Linked DNA regions of Schizosaccharomyces pombe. The gene in region 1 interacts genetically with each later gene. Each region holds a gene or a part of one and is shown on either strand. Other genes may lie near its edges.

Region 1 (3,620 bases):
GGTATTAAACTCGCATTCGAAAAACCCGAGGACTTTGTCTTAAAGCCTCAACGAGAGGGTGGTGGAAACAATACGTATGGAAAAGACATTCCTGGTTTACTCAGCAAAATGCCTCAGGAAGAATGGGACTCTTACATTTTAATGCGCTATATAAATGCCGTTCCATCACAAAACTATATTTTGAAGGGAGAAAGACCTGAAAAGTTTGATGTCGTCGACGAAATTGGTATTTTAGGTACGATCGTTTGGAACATCAAGACTGACGAAGTCGTTCAAAATGGACAGTCGGGTTTCATTTGTCGTACCAAACCCAAAAAAACTAATGAAGGTGGTGTTGCAACAGGCTATGCTTCTTTATCTAGTATTGAACTTTCTGAATAAATTTTGTGTATCAGTTACACCAGGTCAAAGGTATTTAATGTGAGACAAACGTGAAGATGTTGATAAAATTTTTGATCTGAAACACGTTGCTACTTCAAGATATCAATAGACATGATAGACAAGATGCGGATTTTTTTTTTAAAATCGATGATATTACTATTATACATTAATTAAACTTTTCGAAAAAGTCATTACCAGTTATGCGATAATAAAAAGAAAGGAACCCAGAAAAGGCAGTAAAAACTCTTAAAAAATCCTTTAAGTGCCTCAAAGAAGATATTAATTATAAAGTATTTTGGGAGAAAAATAAAATCTCCTGTGTTCAAAATAAAAACAAAACAAGTAAGAAGATAGGAAAAAAAACAAAAAACGATTCAAGCATAAATGACCCGAGAATACTCTACCCACCGTAATATTACACCACGAATTTGGTCCCACTGTTTACTGTCAATTTGGAGCCAATTCTCATGAAGTGATCCACAAGAATCACATGTAAAAGGTTGCATCCAAGAAAGATACTCATTTAATTCCTTATGTACTAACCTTTCAACCTTGAAACTCACTTGGCATGGCTTAGAAGTTTTGCCGGGATCCGGGAAAATTTCTAACACCGACCTGGAAAAGGCACAATTTTTAGGGTACTCACGAAGGTGTCGCTGAAGGTCAGAAACTCTGGAAATTTGGATGAGGGTAGAGTCACCTAAAACGACCGAAGGGTTATTTTTCTGCTCAAATCTGTAAACGCAGATATAACCCGGACAATCATAAGAATCCTGGTTACAAAGCTCACTTTGTAAAAGAAGTTTACATCTTTCGGATAGTAGCGGATTAATCCAATCTTCTAATACAACAACTCCACGAGTAGGAATAGTTCCCGGAGAAGCGACTAATGAAAGTCTGGGTGGAAGATGTTTACGATGAACAGGAGGTATATTGGCACGCAAAAATTCAGGGTCAACAGGTTCAGTAACATTTAAGACAAAAGAATCCCCATTATTTAAATCCTTTACAATTGTAGTAACTTCTCTAGGCTCTGACATCTGAGTTTCATAAGTTTGTGGATATACTGTTTCGTAAGTAACTGGACGCCATTTTAACGATCGAGACAACCATCTATAAAATCTCGTTGCCTTACGACTTAAGGACCACCAAATAGACCACAAATCCCGTTTCCAGCAATCCCACTTATCTTGTAAGGAGTTCGAAAAACCGAGGTTTGTAGAGCTCTGATTACCCAATGTCTCAAATTTTGAAGTAGAGGAATATTCATTCACGTCTGCAGCTTCCGATTCTACATTTGGGGAAGGAAAATCTGTAGAGATTGATACTGAATGCAGAGTATTCGGCATTTTCATGAAATCCTAATCAAACAATATCAACATCCTTCAAAGCCTCTAAAGTCTTAAAATGTATGAACAAACTCAATTACTCGTATTTTCAGATATTTTTCAAAAGTTTTAACAATCAGGGAAACGGAAAAAGCAAACTGAGCTTAATGTTGACATTGGGATTCGTTTAAGGAAACGATTCATGTTACGTTATTTTATTTACCGTAAACATTTTTGCCATTCCAAGTGCCACTACTAAGAAGTAGCAATAGTATTGGCACTAAGTAAAAGGGAATTGACGGCAAGAAGGAATGCTCGTGAGGGATTTGTTTTGGAGTGTAGTTCTGTAATTTTTACCAGAAATTGGCGAACCGTTTGCTTGGTAAGGTGAGACTGAGATGCAGATAGAGATATAGGATGGGCAAGTAAATGCATATGGAGGTCGTAGTATAAACAAAGAATCATCAATGCAAGACAAGAGGCGGCTTCTTTAGCATTTCCTTCATCGACAATAAATATAGCATCTCTCTCATAAAATGGAGGATCAAGTGAATTTAATTCTTGCAATATTGAAGGGAAATGCTTGCGAAACACCGGAGCACCTTTTTTTCCTGACGGTATTGGAAAACAAAGTTCATTCTTCACATTCAGGGTGGTATTCGACAAATTCAAAACAAAGTAAGATGTATTTTCTGGAGGGGGATAAAATCCCGTAACATCCCCAACAAATATAGGAGTTGGTAAAAGATGGGTTAACGAAGAATTTGACATGGTAGGTGAGTTTCTAGTTGAAGATAGTAGGAGGCTAATTTTTTGCTCCAATTGCTCCTCTGGGCATGTGAGGATAGATTCAGTATTTTGCCAAAAGACTTCAGGGGTCAGCCCATGCGACCATTCTTCTTCGTCATCTGCTGCTCCTTGAACGTAAAGAAATCCATGTTCTCGGGAGTACCCATTCTGTACTTGAGCACTTGCAGTAACCAGAACAACTGTAAAATATTCTTCAAATTGTGCAGATGTTAAACGACTAGCAGGTGTTACCCATAAAGGACGAATGGGTTTAGTTAGCTTAGCCGCCAACGCATCTAAGTCAATGCCGGACTGCATTAAAGAATCTACAAATCCATCTAGCCTCTGTAAAATAGATGATTTTTCTGTATCAGGTAAAAACGGGGGTAAAAAGGCCAAACGAGCATTAGGAAAGGAATGGGGACGAAGCCGTTCGAAAACACATTTATTGAGCGTAGCAATCCATATCGGAATCGTCTTTGATAGAGCATCGGGCATTCTCTTTCCACGACGAGTAGAATCTACTATAATCAATCCATCACAAGTGGTTATCTCATTTAGCAAATGCAAATTGAGACGACGACAGCTAAAAGACCATTGCCCGGTATGACCATCAGTACTTTTGAAATAAACAGAAATCGGAGCATGTCGTCGGTTGACATACCACGTACCGCATCGTTCATTTACAACAGGTTTAAATGTGGGGTACGAAGCTATAACTGAGTCGACAAACTTGGCATCGTGTGCAATTGACAGCAACCGATTCTTTCTTGAAATTAGTGTTAGCCAAATTTTCCATTCGATGACATACAAATAAAAGAAAAGCAAGGCAAAAAGGAAAAACAAGTAAAAATCAGCAAAAATATATATCAGTACGAAATCCAACAAATGGCGATTAGGCTAAAAATTTTTCATGAAAATTTAATAGCAGCTATCCATCGTTTTTTCTTACAATTTGCATTAATTGCTTGTGCGTTTATAAAGGTAGCAATCATTTTCTAAGTCTTTTGATTCTGCCAGCTTATTTGTATAGCAAATTGAGACTTACGGGTGTCTTGCTTGAACATGAATTTGTTGCACAGCGTCTAAAGGGTCGAATTCGTCCATTCGTTTGGCAGATCA
Region 2 (3,233 bases), on another chromosome or scaffold:
GGTTACCGAAAAAAACTTATATATCGATATTGGAACAACTTTTTGGCGGAGCTTTGGAAAAGCGTATACGACTACAACTGTTTCAGTTGTTTACGCCTGAGAAGATTTATAGGAAGTTACGCGAGTTTAGACGAGGACTTGAAGGTAAATCTAATCATGATCACTCCAAAGACCGCCGTCATTCACGGGCGCGAAAGCCAGCTTATGCTGATAGGAATCAATTGAAAGCAGAAGCAGGGATTTTGCTTGCTTCCATGTTTCCCGGCTATACACCTGATATTGCTGTGAAAAGAATATTTCGTATTCTCCAAAACCAATCTCTAAACGCTCATGTTATATACACCCTTCTTGACGAGATTTTGCTGGCTTTAAAGAAACACGCTAGATCAACTAATAAGGCAACTTGAGTGTCACTTTTTTACCTCTCTTGTTAAATCATAGCAAGAGTAATCATGTTCATGCTTTTCTTTAATCATATAATGTAATTTCTTCATAGGATTTGATAATACTTTATTACAATTCATCCACTAGATAATTTCAAATCCTGTATTGTTACTGACTTTAAAAGAAGGGTTATACCATTTGAAGTACAAATTATGCGTAAAAATTAAAGCAAAAAGACTTTTTCATTTTAGCCAAAAACTATCAAATTACTATGATTTTTCTATCCCCTCTCCATTTTCTTGCATAAGCAAATGGTGGCTTCTAGTAGCGATGTCGGGTAGAGTAATCTTTTGGAGAAATAACAAGACCTTTACCTTTTCTAGCACCACGAAAAATAGTTTCTATAATATCGATCATCTCTTGTTTATCTTCTAACGGCCAGTTGATTTTGTTATTGTTACCAGTACCTAAGTCAATCATCATGTGTTTGTTTCGATAAAAAAACATTATTGTAGTTCTGTCATAAAGCTCGTACATCTAGATGGTAATAAGGTTAGCAACATGACTTTCCAACTAAGACTTAGACTTACCTTGTTGAAGTCAGGAACTTCGTCAATGTCCACTAAATATATGACAGCCATGTTGACGACCTTTTCAGCAATTCTGTATAGGACTTCATCTTGTTTTATACATTCTTCATCCTATTCCGTTACGCGTTAGTAAATTAATCCGCCTACAATATTAAATAGACTTAATCCAAGTAGATATCGACATTAGAACATACATGATCTCTACCAAATCGAATGACAACCAAGCGCTCTTGTTCTATTTATAAAAAAAAAGGTTAATAAGCTGATTCGAAGTTGTGAAACGAGAAACATTCTACGTTTCTTAAAGTTCGCGTACCTGATAAAATTGCTTGATCAACGTGCCTATAAACATAAGTTAGAGAAGAATAAATCCATCTATCACAAAAACTTACCATCCAGAATGTAAATGAGGTAAAAAATAACTCATTATATCAACTGAAGCTGCTGAATTGCAATATTTTGGTAATTTCTAGCAGACGAGAATAGTGTAGATATGTAAGTCACACAATATACACTTTGCGCGTTAGGATGTAGCAATGCTTTAACTCTACGTAAAAAAGCGTATAATAGTGTAAATGCTATTCAGTAAATAAATTTAGTGAAGTTATGAGATTCTTGACACAAGTGGGATTGCTATTACTTTCGTACATTACATGCTTAGTTGAATCGTTGATGTGTTTACTACAATTATATATATTCATACTTCATCTAATAAAACAATGAAATTCAGAATTTTTTACAATTCTAGAAACCGACCGTTTAAGCAGTTTACTGTGTTTAAAAATTAAAGTATCCGTAATATTCCAAATATTTTGTGAAATACTATTATAAAAAATTTAATTTAGAATCGTAGCTAGGCCGTATAAAATTATTTTTTCAAGTCCCAATCGCAACATAGACGAATGACCTTTGCGTTTTTCTCGACTCCATAGCATAAAATTACAATTGCAAATTCTTTAAGTGACTTGGGTGTTCGCGTTGTAAGCTAACTTTTCTTTTTCAGATTTGTTTGGAGAGTGCAGGATATGCTATAAATTTGTATTTAAGAAAATTTCTGAAAGGTTAAAGTCGCCAAAGGTTGAAAATTTTAAAATGATGTTGATTCATGATAATGGCTTCGGGGAAGATAAGTGTTCCACCCATGTCTTAAGTTTTAATAGTAAATGGCTTAGGATTACTTTATTCGTCTACAAATTGTTGCTTCCTCTTGCTCTGTGAAGACTTGATATGGCCCCCTCTATAATCCACGAACCATAATAGAAATGCAAATCGTTTATAATGGGGAGCTAGAAATCAAGCTGGCGTTTTAGGGATAAACCAAATATTGTCCAAAGCAAGTAATAGTCATCAGTGGTTTCATTTAAAATACATCAATAGTTGTTAAAATGCAGATAATTATGCTGACCTGTGAAATTTTTGGGGTATGAAGAATCATGTAATTAGAGTTTCTTATACACTAACAGAGCTCCAGCTCTCTCTCGACTTTCAGGAATCAAGGAGTTATAATACCTCTGTACTTCTTCATACTTCAACCCTCGGGAGTCAAGATAGCTGTATAAGCTATAAAACCGCTCTTCAAAGAAAATCAGATAATCCGGCCATTCTTTAATTTTATCTAGAAAAGTAGGCATATTCTCGTAAAAACGATCCGTCTCATCAAAGGGCTTTTCGAACGGTTCACATGTCAAGAACTTCCATCCATTTTCAGCAAAAGGTGAATGGATATGCGACTGCCATGGTGTAGTGTGACACGGAGCAAGTATTAGACCAGTTTGGTTTTTTTCAGCAAGTGAATGTATTAATGGCATAACTTCCATGACTCCAAATTGATGAAATCGGCATAAAAATGTAATTACCAGAGCATGTCCCAATCCAATAAGGAAGAAAAACCGTGCTGCACGCTTCCAAGAGGAAAATGATGAAAAAAATTTTCCAGCTAAAGTAAGTAAAATCGGTGAAATTGGGTATACAAACCGAAGTTCTTTATGTCCTATCAGTGAATAGGGAAAGAAAACACAAAGAATGGTTCCCGCTGTTTGAAGGTCCATTGTGAGTAATACGAATGGAAGAAATCCTCCGCATATTAATGGGAGGGCTTGAGAAAGGTAATAGTGCCATGCGTTCAATCCATACAAAGAGGAAAGGCCTGAAGTAACATTAAATTGAAAGAACGAAATGATGGGAAAGACAAAACGACCGTAAAGTATTCTATCAGCAATAATATTAACTAAAAATAAAGACACACACAAAACGAATATG
Region 3 (3,941 bases), on another chromosome or scaffold:
AAAATTTAGTATAACAAGCACCACTGGTTTCCTCATAATGTTAGTTTTAAGATCTTGGGCATTAGCTTAGCACAATAGAATGGAGGGTTGACGCGGCCGTTACACATGACTTCACTTATTTGTCCACCACATACATACTTCCGGCAGCTCACTCTTCGTTGTAGGAAATATCGTAACTTTTAAATATTTATACAAATAAAAGCATTTTGTTTTGAAAAAAGAAGTTTTCTAATATATCATTTGAAAATAATAAACGAATTTCCCAAGTTTAATTAAGGCACCACTTTCAATTTTTTAACATTTACTCCGAATTAGAGTTGAATATAGTACCTTGTTTCATGTACAGGGTCTGCAAAATTGTGCAGAGAAATTGATTGTTTAAAAGTCCCAAAATTTAATCAAGTGAGAAGTTTAGATGAGTGAATCTGCACCCGCTGGTTCGAAGGAGGGAGTTTCATTCGGTAATCTCCCTCGTCCTGAGCCACGAACTTCTAAAGACCAGCAGAAGTTATCCATTTCTACCGATGTTAAAAAACCATCTCATTCTGCTCCTGTTACGCCGGTTCGGAGTGCCAGGAGCTCAATGGAACAGCCAACGTTTCGTCCTGTTGCAAAAAATTCCGTAACAGTGGCACCTGCTCGGGCGGCTGGATTCTGTCCTCCACAATTTGAGGAATATCATCATGGACGTTCCCATAGTCTTGTTTCACCACCTCCGAGTCCACATTTTCTAAAAAGGATTTCGTTCGATACGTTTAATAATAAAGCGGCTACAGATTTTTCCCTGACTCTGAAAACACAACATCAAGCTTACAAGTGGACAAGAACGTCTCGCACTTTTTTGTGTGGCATGGATGGCAATTCGTATTCTGAAGTTGCAGTCGATTGGTTATTCGAAACACTTTTAGCCGACAACGATGAAGCAGTAGTATTAAGAGTAATTGATCCTTCTTCCAAGCTAGCGGAGGATTTATCGGATGAACAATCTTACAGATCTTTAGCTGAACATATCATGGCAGGCATACTCAAGAAAGTTGATGATGATAAAGCTGTTTCTATAATAGTTGAACTCGTGGTTGGTAAACCTCAAGATATGATCCTTCGTACTATACACGTTTATTCACCTGATAGTCTTATTGTCGGTACTCGTGGCAAAGCCTTAAATAGCTTTCAGTCTCTTCTTTCTAGCGGAAGCGTTTCCAAATTTTGTTTACAAAAAAGCCCCATTCCCGTAATTGTTGTTCGACCTGATCGAAAACGAGTTCGTTCAAAAAACAAGCGCCTTAAGGACAAAACGAGAAAGTCCTATATGGAAATTTTAGAGAAAAGCGGTCGCTAATACGAATAGTTCTCTAACTTGCCAATTTATGATTAATACTTGCTTTATGACATGTAATATTTAATGCGTTTGATAAATTATTCGCAAAACGGTTGAACATTGATTTCTTTATTGTCTATTTTAAAAAAGAGCAAAAAAAATAAAGCTTTAATTTTTTTTGTTCGCTAAGCTAAAGCGTGCGGAATTTTAATGTTTAGAGTATATCTATCGTGTATTTGAGATTTCTTAATGTCAATTAATTTGTTTGTCTCTGGATTTAACTATGATAATTTGGAACATGCGTACGTTATGCTGCGTAATTTAGTTGAAATGAAAATTGTTTGTTTACATCCATTTATCATTTTAAGAATTTACGCTTTATTACCAACTCACATATTTTTCATTTATTCCCTATAGAAAAAAAATTTACCTTTACCAATGCGGGTGCCTAATGAAGTTTGTTTTAATATATTATCATATTTGGAAGCCGATGAGCTAAGGTGCAAATCGACAGTTTGTACTTCATGGAGGAATTTTATTATACCCACTTTATGGGAAAAAGTAGTATTTCAAAACGAAGCTCAATTAAATAACTTTTTTGATACTTTACAATACTCCAAGGATGTTTCGTACTATTTCAGGTATTTGCGCAAGCTGAATTGCTCTCGTGTTAGGAAATTTCTTACCGATAAACATTTAATGTTAATGACATTAGCAACAGGGATTTCTCGTCTGAATTTGTCTGGATGTACTCGCATTTCCGAGCCTCTTATTGGTAAACTGTTGTATCAGAATTTGAACTTGGTTACTATAAACTTCAGTAATATTTTCTCTTTACCGGCGAATATACTTGAATATATTTCTGATAATTGCCCTAATTTAAAAGCTTTGAATATTGGGAATTGTGGGTTAGTAGAAGATACCGGTATGGTTCAGATAATAAAACGTTGTCCGTACTTAAATCGGCTCATTATACCGAATTGTCGAAAGCTGACTGACGTCTCATTACAAATACTTTCTGAAAAAGAAGACCTGATTGAATTAGATATTAGTGGATGTGAAGGCTTTCATAATGCGGATACGCTGTCTAGGTTGGTCTCCAGAAATCGAGGTTTGAAAGAATTATCTATGGATGGTTGCACAGAATTGTCACATTTCATCACTTTTTTAAACTTAAACTGTGAATTAGATGCAATGAGGGCATTAAGTCTTAACAATTTACCAGATTTGAAAGACAGTGACATAGAATTGATAACTTGTAAGTTCTCAAAATTAAACTCTCTATTTCTTTCCAAATGCATTGGATTGACTGATTCGTCACTTTTAAGCTTAACAAAGCTTTCTCAATCTTTAACGACTCTTCATTTGGGACATTGCTATGAGATAACCGATATTGGTGTTCAATGTCTTCTAAAGTCATGTAAAAATATAACTTACATTGACTTCGGTGGTTGCCTTCGTTTGAGTGATATAGCAGTAAGTGCTATTGCTAAGTTGCCATATCTTCAAAGAGTAGGTTTGGTCAAATGCATTTGCCTTACTGACCTTTCTGTAATCTTACTAAGTGGGTCTTTTTCCAGAAACCTTGAACGAGTACATCTTTCTTATTGCATTGGACTAACCGCAAAGGTATGTAAAATATGCTATCTTTTCTAACCAAATTAGTCGGTTAGTTATTTGATGTATAACTGTAAAACGTTAAAGCATCTTAGCGTTACTGGAATTAACTCTATATTATGCACAGAATTGCGATCTTTTTCCCGTCCAATTCCAGATGGAATAAACCCGTCCCAAGTCCCGGTATTGTAAGTCTGTGGTTTTGACCTCTTAATAGTCACTAACTAATATACAGCTGTGCGTTCACTAAGGTCGAGATTGATTTGTTTCGAGAATTTATTCGTAATAGAATATAGAAATCAAACTTTTCACAGTTTCATTTAAGGCTTCAATTGACATGATGGCGTGCTTGTCCTTAACTATTCAATAATAAAACATTTTATAAAAAACGTTATTTACTCCGCAAGGTTTTTTTTTTTTTTTTTTTTTTTTTTTTTTTTTTTTTTTGATTGAACTAATCAGCAGATGGTAGCTATATATTTACAAGTACAAAAAAGTAGATTTATTACATATTATCAAAAAAACCTCTCACTCTTACAAAAGATAAGTTAAACATAGTTTCTTAAAAGAAAACCTATTTTATTGTACACCTTTCATATTGCATTACCATTCACATTAGTTAATAATTAATTTTTTTTATGGGGGTTCCATACTAACTCCTGTTCAAGAAGCATCCTTGGGTAAAGTAGATATGAAACCATCCAAATTAAATTCATCATATTGGGATTCATCCCACATTTCTGGAAGCCCTTCAAGAGCCTTTTTAGAAGTACCACTTAGACCGCGACCTGCCGCATCTTCCGATTCTTCTTTGTCAATATTTTGTACAGTTTGTTGTTCATCAGCAGTAGTGTTAAAAAGGTCTAAAATCTGATCGGTTCCAATTGAAGAAAGACCAGCATTTTGCTGATTAACAACCGTTGATGCCACGTTCATTTTAAACCTCTGAAGGCCCATTATTTTTTCCTCAAGACATCCTCGAGTGATTAAACGATACACATTCACC

The links. A genetic interaction does not mean that the proteins touch.
Region 2: mutations in mug113 (region 1) and dim1 together harm fitness more than expected from each alone (negative genetic interaction), as found in Schizosaccharomyces pombe (one large-scale study listed by BioGRID).
Region 3: mutations in mug113 (region 1) and pof2 together harm fitness more than expected from each alone (negative genetic interaction), as found in Schizosaccharomyces pombe (one large-scale study listed by BioGRID).

The regions. Positions count from the first base shown.
Region 1 is NC_003424.3:2,825,083-2,828,702, forward strand, and holds mug113 (protein mug113), read right to left. Parts: upstream 1,848-3,620; 5' UTR 1,737-1,847; coding exon 756-1,736; 3' UTR 501-755; downstream 1-500. Other genes in the region: glutathione synthetase large and small subunit Gsa1, read left to right, coding at 1-381; rit1 (initiator methionine tRNA 2'-O-ribosyl phosphate transferase), read right to left, coding at 1,965-3,267, 3,547-3,605; palmitoyltransferase complex subunit Erf4, read right to left, coding at 3,584-3,620. UniProt on the Schizosaccharomyces pombe protein: Has a role in meiosis.
Region 2 is NC_003421.2:877,234-880,466, forward strand, and holds dim1 (U4/U6 x U5 tri-snRNP complex subunit Dim1), read right to left. Parts: upstream 1,439-3,233; 5' UTR 1,402-1,438; coding exon 1,367-1,401; intron 1,356-1,366; exon of another isoform or gene 1,317-1,355; coding exon 1,291-1,316; exon of another isoform or gene 1,210-1,290; coding exon 1,169-1,209; exon of another isoform or gene 1,086-1,168; coding exon 975-1,085; exon of another isoform or gene 922-974; coding exon 706-921; 3' UTR 571-705; downstream 1-570. Other genes in the region: sorting nexin Snx12, read left to right, coding at 1-407; gpi10 (pig-B family GPI synthesis protein), read right to left, coding at 2,414-3,233. UniProt on the Schizosaccharomyces pombe protein: Plays a fundamental role as a protein essential for entry into mitosis (G2/M progression) as well as for chromosome segregation during mitosis. May play a role in mitotic spindle formation and/or function.
Region 3 is NC_003423.3:2,616,106-2,620,046, forward strand, and holds pof2 (F-box protein Pof2), read left to right. Parts: upstream 1-1,756; coding exon 1,757-2,947; exon of another isoform or gene 2,948-2,983; coding exon 2,984-3,123; exon of another isoform or gene 3,124-3,170; coding exon 3,171-3,231; 3' UTR 3,232-3,371; downstream 3,372-3,941. Other genes in the region: SPOM_SPBC25B2.10 (Usp (universal stress protein) family protein), read left to right, coding at 416-1,339; TATA-binding protein-associated factor Mot1, read right to left, coding at 3,599-3,941. UniProt on the Schizosaccharomyces pombe protein: Involved in substrate recognition in ubiquitin-dependent degradation.